3 linked regions of the Macaca fascicularis genome follow. The protein of the gene in region 2 interacts with the protein of the main gene of each other region in a pairwise test. Links are inferred from orthologs where the notes say so. Each region holds a gene or a part of one and is shown on either strand. Other genes may lie near its edges.

What was found.
Region 1: the proteins of CFAP206 (region 2) and SOX30 interact in binary tests that used the Homo sapiens proteins (3 or more experiments, as listed by UniProt). The two-hybrid records come from large-scale screens. The link is inferred for Macaca fascicularis from reciprocal best matches to the Homo sapiens genes CFAP206 and SOX30.
Region 3: the proteins of CFAP206 (region 2) and C1H1orf94 interact in binary tests that used the Homo sapiens proteins (3 or more experiments, as listed by UniProt). The two-hybrid records come from large-scale screens. The link is inferred for Macaca fascicularis from reciprocal best matches to the Homo sapiens genes CFAP206 and C1orf94.

What each region holds. Positions count from the first base shown.
Region 1 is NC_088380.1:164,438,252-164,441,902, forward strand, and holds part of SOX30 (transcription factor SOX-30), read right to left. Parts: 5' UTR 1,948-3,651; coding exon 981-1,947; intron 1-980. UniProt on the Homo sapiens protein: Acts both as a transcriptional activator and a repressor. Binds to the DNA sequence 5'-ACAAT-3' and shows a preference for guanine residues surrounding this core motif. Binds to its own promoter and activates its own transcription.
Region 2 is NC_088378.1:87,903,246-87,907,413, forward strand, and holds the start of CFAP206 (cilia- and flagella-associated protein 206), read right to left. Parts: upstream 2,850-4,168; coding exon 2,743-2,849; intron 1,053-2,742; exon of another isoform or gene 1,049-1,052; coding exon 940-1,048; intron 296-939; coding exon 212-295; intron 1-211. UniProt on the Homo sapiens protein: Essential for sperm motility and is involved in the regulation of the beating frequency of motile cilia on the epithelial cells of the respiratory tract. Required for the establishment of radial spokes in sperm flagella.
Region 3 is NC_088375.1:200,780,660-200,784,310, forward strand, and holds part of C1H1orf94 (uncharacterized protein C1orf94 homolog), read right to left. Parts: intron 2,711-3,651; coding exon 2,535-2,710; intron 1-2,534.

The sequences.
Region 1 (3,651 bases), on a different chromosome or scaffold from region 2:
CATGTATTTCATCAAAAATAACTGTCCATAAATTTATATTTTAGGATTGCCTGATATATTAAAAATTTCTTTAAAACACTAAGGATGAAATAAGTAGTATAAAGAAAGCTTTCCCTTTCTTTCCTTTAGAAAACAAAAATCTAAAAAATACTAAAGAGAAAAGCAACAGAGTGGAGTGGAGAGGAAGAATCAACACAGAAAATTTAAAAAATAAATAAAGAAAATATGAACCAAAGATTAATATGACTTTCCAAGATGTTCATTGGCAAAGTGTTCTGTGTGAACTAAATCGTAAAATAAGAATTTGCTAACTTTATATCTGGAAATACTGGATAGAAATAAAAACATCTATTTGTACTTGTTACCGCTACAACTAGTCATTTCTTTAAAAACAATATTTATGGCTCATTCTACCGTATTCTTTTCAGTATTTCTATAAGTCCTTACCTTTCAGAGGAATAAACACTAAAATATTACATCGAATCACGTACTGTTTTCTGCTAGAAGAATGTTTACTGTTCATTTTTAAAGATAGCCTCTATAATGGATATAAACTTTCCTATTTAACTATAATCCCTTTTTTCATTAAACACCATAATTTCCTCTATATCTTGACACATATAAAAGTACTGAGCTATTATAATACAATATTTTTAATCTTGATTATTTGTAGCATATAAACTGAGGGCTCTGTGCTGTCTAGAAAATACCTCTATTTTTGTGTACAAAAATTAGTCCTATCTAAATACTGGGCCTTAAAATCGATTTTTTAAAAAATACTTGAGAATCTTGAAGGCATTCGTGTATTTTACTGCTACATATACAAGTCGATCAGAAGTGATAACCTGTGCAGACTCTGCCCTGAAAATAATAGGTTCCATGACTTCACTTTTGTAGTTTAGACTTGGGAACTGCTGACAAAACAGCTATGGGCAACACAGGTGCAGTTTTGAAAACCCCTCTCCCCTGCTGTCTAATACCTGCATCTGAGGGCAACACGGTGAGCGGGACATCTTTGGTTTCGATTTTTACAGAAGGCTCCAGTAGGGACTGCATTTTAATAGGCACTGGTGTAAGGGGGACTTTGGTCAATCTTATCAGCTCTGAAGGCGGAGCTCCCTGAAACTGGATCCGGGCCCCAGGGGGGACCGTGTGGAGAGTCAAAGGGATCCTGAGGTCTTGCTGGTGCGGCCCAAAGGCACCGGACGTTGGGGCCAAGATGACCTCCGCGCTGCCATGAACTAGGCCATTGGACGCGGGCTCCGCGTCGAGCCTGCAGTCCTCGAGGAGTCTCTCGGGTTCCTCCGTTTTGATCACACCTTCTCGGATGGCCGCCGGGCTTTTGCCATCCCCGCCTTTCATCGCGTCTCTCATGACCTCCTCGGCCTCCAGCTTGCCCTTCTCGTTCCCTCGGAAGTAGGCGAGGGCCGGTCCCGGACCTTCCAACTTGACCACCCTGGAAGCTCTAGGACCGGTCTCGACGCCCCCACGAGGACCCACTGACGGGTCCAGGCCGGGCCCCAGCTCCTGCTTCTTGGCCTTGAAGTGCAGCGCCCGGGGCTGCACCGGGTGCAACTCCGGCCTGGAGGGGGCGCCCTCGGACGCTGACGGCGGCGGCAGGAGCCGAAGGTCGGGCCTGAACGGCAACAGCCGCGCCTGCGCGGGCGAGGCAGCGGCTTCCTCGTCCCGGGCCTGAGGCTGTGGTAGCAGCAACACCTGCTCTGGCTTCACCTGCAGCAGCCGCCGCACCGCGGGCGGTAAGCCGGACGCCACGGCCTCCCCGCACGACGAGGCCAAGGTCGCACTGGCGGCCGCGCTTAGTGTGGGAGGCGACGGAGGGGGCTCCACGGCCGCTGCCCAAAAGGTGGTGCCCTCGACCGGCAGCAGGGGCGGAGCGGGACGCAACGGGCGCTGTTGAGGCTGAGGCTCCGGTCTGGCTCTCTCCATGGGGGAGGGGGACGCCCCGGCCTGGATTGTGAGCTCAGCCGTTTGTTGGCGACCTTCCCCCTCCCCCTTTCGGTTAAGACCCTTGCAAGGCCTTTGCTACCCAGAACCCTACGCGGTTCAAAACGCAGCTGTCTGTTTGGGCCTCACCAATCACAAGCGACCGATACCCCTGGACGGCCAATCACAGGCGGGTTTTCCGGCTCTTCCCGGTCCCTACTCTCGCCTCGTGCTGAGTCCTCGAATCACCTGCCATGGCGGAAGCCGCCGCACTTGTTGCCCATTTTCTCTGACTCTCCCTCTCTTGTGGAGTTCTCTCCCCGGCCGTTGTCTTTAGTTATCCCTACCCCGCCCGGAGCTGCGACAATGGCGTTGCCCAGGAAACGCTGCGCTTCCAGGCCACTGACGTCCAGGGAATAAAGTCTTGCGTCACAAGGCGGGCGACGACTTGTGGGCCCGCTCTGTGCGGAATGAGTAATCTGTCGGCCCTGAGTATCACCAGGGCTTTTGTATCACCAGGGCTTTTGAATCTTTGCCAAGGGAGAATGGTGAAGATTTTGCAAATTATCAATAACCCATTAGCTGATCTTGCTGGGGAGGCTTTTCGACTTTGTGTGATTATTGTGCTAAAGTTTCAGTTAATCACCAGGCCCTGTGGTCCTACTTCCAAAATATTATACATCCCAAATTCGTCCACTGTTTTGTGTTTCTACCTGCCATTATCCTGTTGCAGGCTCCCACCATCTTTCACTGGGATACTGCCTTAACCCTGTACATAGTCTCCCTGTTTGTCACTCTTGCCCCACTACACTCCAGCTGCCAGTGATCTTTCGAAAACGCAAATCTGAGGTTGTCACACTTTTCCTAAAGCTTTCCGTGGCTCCCCACTGATCATGTGATGAAAGTCTAAAATTCTTAGCAAAGCCTTAAAAATCCCCCCAATGGCTTGGGATCTAACCTACTACTACTACTACTATTAGATTGGTGCAAAAGTAATTGTGGCTTTTGCTCTTAAATAGTTACTGAGTCTTTGGGTTTCAGCCACATTGGCCCCCTCATCATTCTCTTTACTGTGGGCTCTGTAAACATGCTCAGCGTGCTACTCTTTCCTTTGTGTCTCCTTAATTCCTCCTTCCCATTTTTCAAATTTCAGCTTAACTGGGACTTCTTCAAAGAAGCTTTTACTGACTCTGAAAATCAGAGCAAATCTTGGTCTACTTATACCTCTATCACTTCATTTGCTTACCACGATTTGTAATTAGAATTTTTATGTGATGATTCTACTTCCTCTCTCACTTGACTATAAAGTCCTTGAAGGCAGAACTGTTTGTGTTTTCCCCATCACTGAATCCCCAATGCAGATCATTGAGCCTGGCATATAGTACTCAATAAATACTTGTTGAATAAATAACTGAATAGCAACTGTGGTAGGGTAATAATAAAATAGTAATAATCACTACCTGTGTTAAGGGCTTACTCTTATGCTAGACACTCTTCCAAATCCTTTCCGTGTTTATGCTTCTCCTTTTATTAGGATTGTGTTTATTTCCATTACACATCACCAAGAAAAACAAAAAGAAATCCTGTATTAACATTTGTTGCATTTCTAAATGACATTCTGGCCAAAAGCTATAGTTTATCTTGACGTAGATGATTTTTGCAATCAAGACAAGTTATCACTCAAAGAAAACCACTCCAATTCTTTGT
Region 2 (4,168 bases):
ATGACCATATTGCAAGGATGGCATGCCCCAGGAAGCCAGGAAGAAGGGTCTATGTCTCTCCACACTTTGTGTTATGAGAAAAATACCTCATGTGTAGTACTATTTTGTGGGCTTTTGTTTCATTTAGCTGAAGGCAATAATGACTAACACAAATACTGTGTTTACAACTGAGAATAAGTAATTGCAAATTTGAGGACTGTTGGGTAATCACCTTAACAAGATTCTGCACATCACTTTTCATGAGGGTTCTATCCATGTTAAAGCCATTACTTGGATCCAGGACAACAGCTTTCACCTGGAAAAAAGTAGGAACAAGCCCATTAAGTAGGAAAGAATCCATTAAGCAATTTTATTTCATATTATTAGTTTAATGTGTTTCCATTTTTTAAACAACTACCTCCTGATTACAGTGGGGTTGGTTTTTCAACTATTTTTCTTACTACTGAACTCATCAGTACCCTTGTTAGAGGCTGAAGAAAAGAAGCGACAAACATCAAATTTGAATGGGGTGCTAGAAAAGTTATATGGGGAAATAAGTTGAAAGCAATGGCTAGGTTTTCAGTTGGGAAACTATGGTATATTTTATTGTATTTTTATTGTGTATTGTTATCTTAACCAAAAGCAAGAACAGAGAAACCATAGCAATGAGTAATTTTTAACAACGGCAAACAAAAATACACACCAAAAAATTTCCACACAGGAGAACATTATTTATGTTTTCCAAACTCATCAAGGTCTTCTAAATCAGTCTCTATAAATCTACAACTCACATGCTCTATAAACGTTTTTAAAATGTTTTCACTAACTTGTCCGATGATCTCATTATGTTTAAGCTGAAAAACATCTATGAAAGCTTCACAGAATTTAAAGGGGAAAATGGACATCACATCTTAAAAAAGCTCTTAATAAAGTAGTAATCACAAAAAGATTTCTTCTTACCATAAAAGCAATCAGAGTTTCAGAAACAATCTCTCCATGGGCTGCACATTCTTGTCCTATTTCTCGTATAATACTCCTTATAACACTTTCGGCCTGAGTTGGAGGCATTCTGGCTAAATAAAACAATTTTTTTTAAAAACGTGGGTTTATGCAAATTTTTTTCTCTTCCGATTTCTCCAATATTGTATTTGTAAAGAGTCATAATATCATCTATTAGCTTATTAGTATTTTTATTAGTATCTAGGCCTCTCCTGTTTTTCATTATTTTTAAAAATGAAGGACTTTATTGAAGACAGACAATGATTGGGATTTCAAATAATTGAAACATCTGATAATTAACATTTTCAATTATTTAAATTATGGTCACTAAACATATATTCCTATCATGATATTCTTAATTTAAAAAAAAAAAAAAAAAAAAAAAAAAAGGCTAAGCAGGCTGGGCGCGATGGCTCACGCCTGTAATCCCAGCATTTTGGGAGGCCGAGGCAGGCGGATCAGCTGAGGTCGGGAGTTCGAGACCAGCCTGACCAACACGGAGAAACCCCGTCTCTACTAAAAATACAAAATTAGCCGGGCGTGGTGGCGGACGCCTGTAGTCCCAGCTACTCCGGAGGCTGAGGCAGGAGAATCGCTTGAACCCGGGAGGCGGGAGTTGCGGTGAGCCGAGATCACGCCATTGCACTCCAGCCTAGGCAACAAGAGCGAAACTGCGTCTCAAAAAAAAAAAAAAAAGGTAAGCAGTATTTGTAGGGGAAGAAGGTAAAATTAATGAGAAACCCAAGAGTACAGCTTGAAAGAGGAAATGCTTATTCAACCACATTCACTAAATAATCTTTCGTAATGGTACTAGAATCTTGGAAAACAATTCTTGCTCAGATCATTAAAATAATCTTTTCCGCACATCTAAAATGGAGTTCAGACTCTCGATAAAAAACACAAAAGCAAAAACCAAAACGTAAGAGTTATGCGTCATGGAAAAAAATGAACTCCTGGTTATTAATTCCATTTACTCTAAGGAAAAAGTGGCAGGTTTTGACCGAGTTTTCTGATTTTCCTGAATATTAGTAACTGAGCACAATGGAACTTGGCATGTAGAGTATAACAAAGGCAATATCAGGTAGATAAAGCCAACTCCTCAGCATTATTAGCTTTCCGATGGATGGGTACGGAAGCACGAGGCATTTTGTCCAGTGAAACCAGATTGCTTGGATTCCATCGTGACCCGACCACTGTCTAGCTGTGAGATCTTGGGCACTTGTTTCACTTCTTTCCAGAGGCGTGAGGACTAAATTAGTCCTATATGTTGTGTGGTTACAACAGTTTGCGGCATAAGGGAATCGCTTAAAACAGCTTTGAATCAGTACTCCAGGATCGCAAGCAGCGCATGCGCGAGTGTCAGTCTGTGGGAGAGTCTATCCCGCGCCGGGTCTGTGTGCGCATGCGCAACTGTGCCGGGTCGCTAGGGACGCGGCTCAGCACCTTCCCCGCATCCACCCACCAATTACTAAGTCTCCCGAGGTCAGGCTTCTAGGGTAGCCAGTGGAGTGGAACAGAGGCGGAAGGCCTCAGGCGCCCGCGCAGTGGCTAGAGGGCCGCCCTGCCGCCCTGGGCGCCTCCGGCGGGAATGGACCGCTGTTCCAGCTCAGCGGCGGCGCAGCCTAAAGGATCGAGACTGAGAGCTAAGTCTCGACGAGGCAGGACGCGGTCCTCCAGCCGCCCGGGCTCCGCCAGCTGCCCCACGCTCGCCGCCTGGCGGGACACACCTCCGGGTCAAGGGCGCGGAGCCCCGAGTAGGCTGACCTGGATCGGAATCGACAGCAGGAGCCGTGTCTGTCTGCTTCTGTCCTGGGGCCCTCACCGCGACCGTCGGGGCAGTTGGGCTCTCGCAGCAACCGCCGCGTAACCATGGAGATGGAAGGCTCCGGACCAGAGGGGGTGGGGCCAGGTGGGGGCGGGGCTGGGTCCCACTTTGAGGGTCTTTTCCGCGAAAGATGGGCTGGAAAAACTTTAAAAACAAAGAAATTCCAGGCAGAGACATCTTAACCTCCGTGGTTAAGACTGTGAAACACAAGTTCTCGTAAATAAGGACATTAACTCGCTAGCGTGGGAACGATGGGGCGGCTTTGAAAGCGGGGTCGGGGAGAGGGAGGAGCCAGTTGGAGAGGCTGGGAAAACGGAAGGGCTGTATCCTGGACAAATAGAGTTCTTGTAAAAGTATCTAGATTTAAAAAACAAAAGTAAAAAGTATCGAGGTTTTACTTCATGTCCCGTTGTTCAAAGGAAGTCTGCAACAGAACGCTCCAAAATGCCCGAAGAGAAAACTCATTCAAGAAGCACATGATAAGAACACATTAGTGTCCGAGTCAAAATAATGAAGTTTTATCCCTTAACGATAATGTCGTTAGGCCCACCTTCAGACCTGAAAGTGTGAAAAAGGATTAAATACGCATTAGAAGGAGAGCATCAAACAACAAGGTTTTATTTTTAAACAGTAACTTTTCTCAAACTGCAAACAAACATGCAGAATATGCTTTGCTTAAGGACATTCCCTGATTACTAGGAAATGAATAAACACAAAAACTCAAGAATACACATCATAATATAACACAATTTTATTTCCACCTTCTAGAAAATGTTCCCGGAATGTGGATGAAGCTTGTGTAAAAATAGATGTTCAGAGTAACATGATTTATAATACCACAACCTTGGAAATCTAAACACGATATTTAAGTAAAACGTCAGGCAGGTATTTAAAATTATGTTAATAAAAACCTTGTGTTTGTCTTATACTTTTTAAAAGCCAAATGCAAAATTTATATATAATATGACTTAAACTATATTGACGTACATATAATGCACAAAAAGTGTATAAGTCATTTTTTCAAAATCACAGCAAGGAATTAGATCTAAGGATGGAATTATAGGTAAAGTATTTTTATTTCTTTATACTTTTCTGTTTTTTCTAGATTTTTCCATAATGAGTATATATTGTCTTATGATCTATAAAACAAAATTTTAAAATACTAGGGAGATGAGACTGGCTATTTGTAGAGAATGAGCCCAATTTAGATATACAAATATACTGTAAGTATACAAGGTAAAGCAACCAAAGGAAGGTGAGATAGCAAAATTTTAACAGTGGTTGTATCTTTGTAATGGCTTATGGCTGATTTGTCTTCTTTGTACTTTAAGATAGCTACCAAAATGTCTTCCATGAGCATATATT
Region 3 (3,651 bases), on a different chromosome or scaffold from region 2:
TCAGGCAATTCTCCTGTCTCAGCCTCCGGTGTAGGCTGGGGCTCCAGGCACACGCCGCCACACCTGACTAGAACAATGCTCAGCCTATAGTAGGTGTAGGGAGAAAAGGTTTTCAAAATTACTTAAATTAATGAGCAAATAAATACATAGAAATGAGTAAATCATGAGTAGGTGAGTAAATGAATAGTGAATAAGCACACAAAAATGAAAGGGTAGAAGCATATTGGTAAAGGAGTCAGTGAATGAATGAACAGAACATTTCAAGACCTGTGTAAAGACAATAGACTACTAATATGAAACTGGTCCACGACAATAAACTACTAATGTGAAACTAGTCCACTTCAGCTTCCTTCTTAGGTCACCTTTCATCACAACCTCTCACCTCCACAGTGGGGTGTGAGCTTTCCTTCCCTGGGGAGGGGATGGGTACTTGTTCTCTTTAGCAAACTCACACACAAACAAAAAGCTTGCAAACAAAACAGAGAGAGACTTTGCTAAGTTCCTTTAAGATTCAGAAGCTAAGCCTGGTGGGGCAGATTGAAGAGTCTTTATATAGAGAAGAGCCAATCCCCTTTCCCCGTAGGACATAAGCCTTGTGCTGTGTTGAAAGGGAAAGAACAGCATAGGGTTCCTGGGGATGGAGAGGGGGGAAGGGACATAGCAACAGGACAAACCAAGTTGGAAATATTCCCTTCTCTGCTTTCTTACTTCAGGCTGTGCTGGGCCAGGCTGCGGCAGCAACTTGCCAAGGTCCTGGATGCACAAATTTGAGTTCCTGCCCTTCCCCATACAATGACATACAATTCTAGAGAGAAGCCAGTGAGGGGAACAGAAGACAGAAATCTTAGGCATGGAGAGTCTTTCCTGAAAAAATTGAGTTCTACCTAAAGGGACTATTTAAGTTATTGGATTGGGCTAAGGCTTAAACCAGAGTGGACATTTATTTAATTTTTCCCTCCTTCTACCCAGTGGGTGGAAGCTCTTAAGGGATATTAAGTTAAATTGACGAAATAAAGAAACTACATTTTCCCTGCATAAATAAGTTCTGTGAGCAGAATTTCCAGCCCTGCTACAGGTGCTTCACTGTCCCTTTGTGTCTGGCCACTGATTTTCTCCTTCAGCTACGAGCCCAAGAACAAGAATGTGTGCCAAACAACCTTGGTTGATACAAGCTAAGACTGCTTGGGTGTAGTGTAAGTAAGGTGGCCATATACACTCATCCCATGGTATCCTCAGAGGATTGGTTCCAAGTTCACCCTCCCTCCCCTGCCCTGTGGATACCAAAATCTGAGCATGCTCAAGTCCCCGATATAAAATGACATATAAAGATGCTCAACTCTCTGATATAAAATGGTATTTGAGGGCTGGGTGCAGTGGCTTACGCCTGTACTCCCAGCTCTTTGGGAAATGGAAACGGGTGGATCACACGAGTTGGGGAGTTCGAGACCAGCCTGGCCAACATGGTGAAACCCTGTCTCTACTAAAAATACAAAAATTAACCAGGTGTGGTGGCGCACATACCAGTAATCCCAGCTACTTGGGAGGCTGAGGTAGGAGAAACACTTGAACCTAGGAGGCAGAGATTGCAGTGAGCCAAGATCATGCCACTGCACTCCACCCTGGGCAATAAAGTGAGACTCTGTCTCTAATAAAATAAAATGGCATATGAGGATGCTCTAGTCCCTGATACACAATGACATATAAAGATGTTCAAGTCCCTGATATAAAAAGGGATATGAGGATGCTCAAGTCCCTGATATAAAATGGCATAGTATTTGCACGCAGCTTATGCACATGCTTCTGTATCCTTTAATCTCTAGATTACTAACAATGTCTAATAATGTACTATGTAAATAGTTATTATACTATATTATCTTTTATTCGCATTATTTTTTGTTGTTGTATTTTTTTTAATTGTTTCCTTCTTCAAGTATTTTCCATCCAAGCTGGTTGAATCTGTGGATGTGGAACCCGTGGATACAGAGGGCTGACTGTAATTTGTTGTCCAAACCAGGACACTTGAGAGTGAAAAGAGATGCCATTAATATTATTCTGAAACAGAAGACCTAAATTGGGACTGTCCCAAATAATCTAGGATATATGTCATCCAACTTCAAAGGAAGTCACAGGAAGGAGGTGGGAAACAAGGACTGTGACATCATCTTCTCCTGGGAGCCCAAGCACTTAACCAGCCACTACTAGCAAAGAGACTCTGCAATAAAGAGCACAGTGTGAACTGGAATTCAGACAGCGGAAAGTTAGGACTAAATATACATATATGTGTTTGTGGAGGTGTGCACATGCATGCACATGAACCAAGGGGTAGATCTGATGTGACCACAATGAAAAAAATAACCAACAAGATGACAAGTTGACAGTGCCCTTCCATAGCCCCAGCGAAGCCTCTTGCATGTAGGGAAGGGATTCAGAAGAGTCTAAAGACTCTTTGTGAAATAGACTCCCTGCCAGCCACGCCTCCTCTGTGGCCAAAACCCCTGTGGATGTCCACAGGAGAGCCAGGCCCGTTCACTGACCTGATACTGCAGGAAGGTAGAGTGATTCGTGAACACTGGTGGAGGTGGATAGTTCAGGTTGAGCCAGAGTGGCTGGTTCAGGGTTGCTGAGGTCAAGGCTGTAGCAAAGTGTGGAGTGAAAACATTCCCTGTGTACTTCGGGTTGTTCTTGTCAGCAACCGTCACAGGTGCGTTAACTGCAAGTCACAGGAGAGGTAAAGCGGGTCAGTAACGGAGGCAGGGAAAGGCCAGGACACCTTCAGCATCACAACTTCCCTGGGGATTCACAGTCTCACAGGTCAGGTCCTTTAAGCTCCAAGAGGGTTCTTCAAAGTCCTAGTACATTTCCAACTATAGGTAAACATCATTAGTTCACACCTTGCCAATTTGGAAGGTATGAAAATCCCAGAAGGTCTGGCTTGGAGCTTTTCTTTCCATCATTCACTAGTAAAGAAGGCAGTTTAGCAAGGGAATACAATAAGCCAGATTGCTAGGGCTATATTTCACCTACTTACAAAATGAAATTCTTTCAACTGCTTTGGAAAAATCCAACTTTATGTGAACCACTGCTATGCCATTGGAATTCATCCTTATCAAATGATTAAAGCAGCCCTCCCTAAGGACATATATTTGGCAACACTAAGAAACTTTCACAGGTTGTTGTATCTATATGGGAATTAAAAAATATATATTTCAAAACATTAAATAATTCAGCATGCAGTGAATCAAAATTGGTTTAAATGAATGAAGTTAGGCTGAGTTGTTTCAAGATAAGAATCCTGGCTTCTTCCTTTCTACAAGATGTTGTAGGGGGTTATAAAACCAGAAATGGGTCCTCAGTTTCCCCCTTATTGGCATCCTTTTGGGAAAAGAGGTTTGACGAGAACACTTATAGGAAGAGAAAGCAGGAACATAATCTCAATGCAGAAGTAATCTACAGCAAGGATTTTTTGTTTTGGCTTGGGCAATTTGAGAGGATATAATACATGCTGGGTCAGGGCTATATTCAGAAGTGACCATTAATAATGCTGATGTGACCCTCGAAAGCCAACCACATTTCTCTAGCAACTGTATTCCCAACAAGGGATATAGGGAGAAAGTTACTGCCCCCATTTTATGGGTTTAAAAACTGACACCT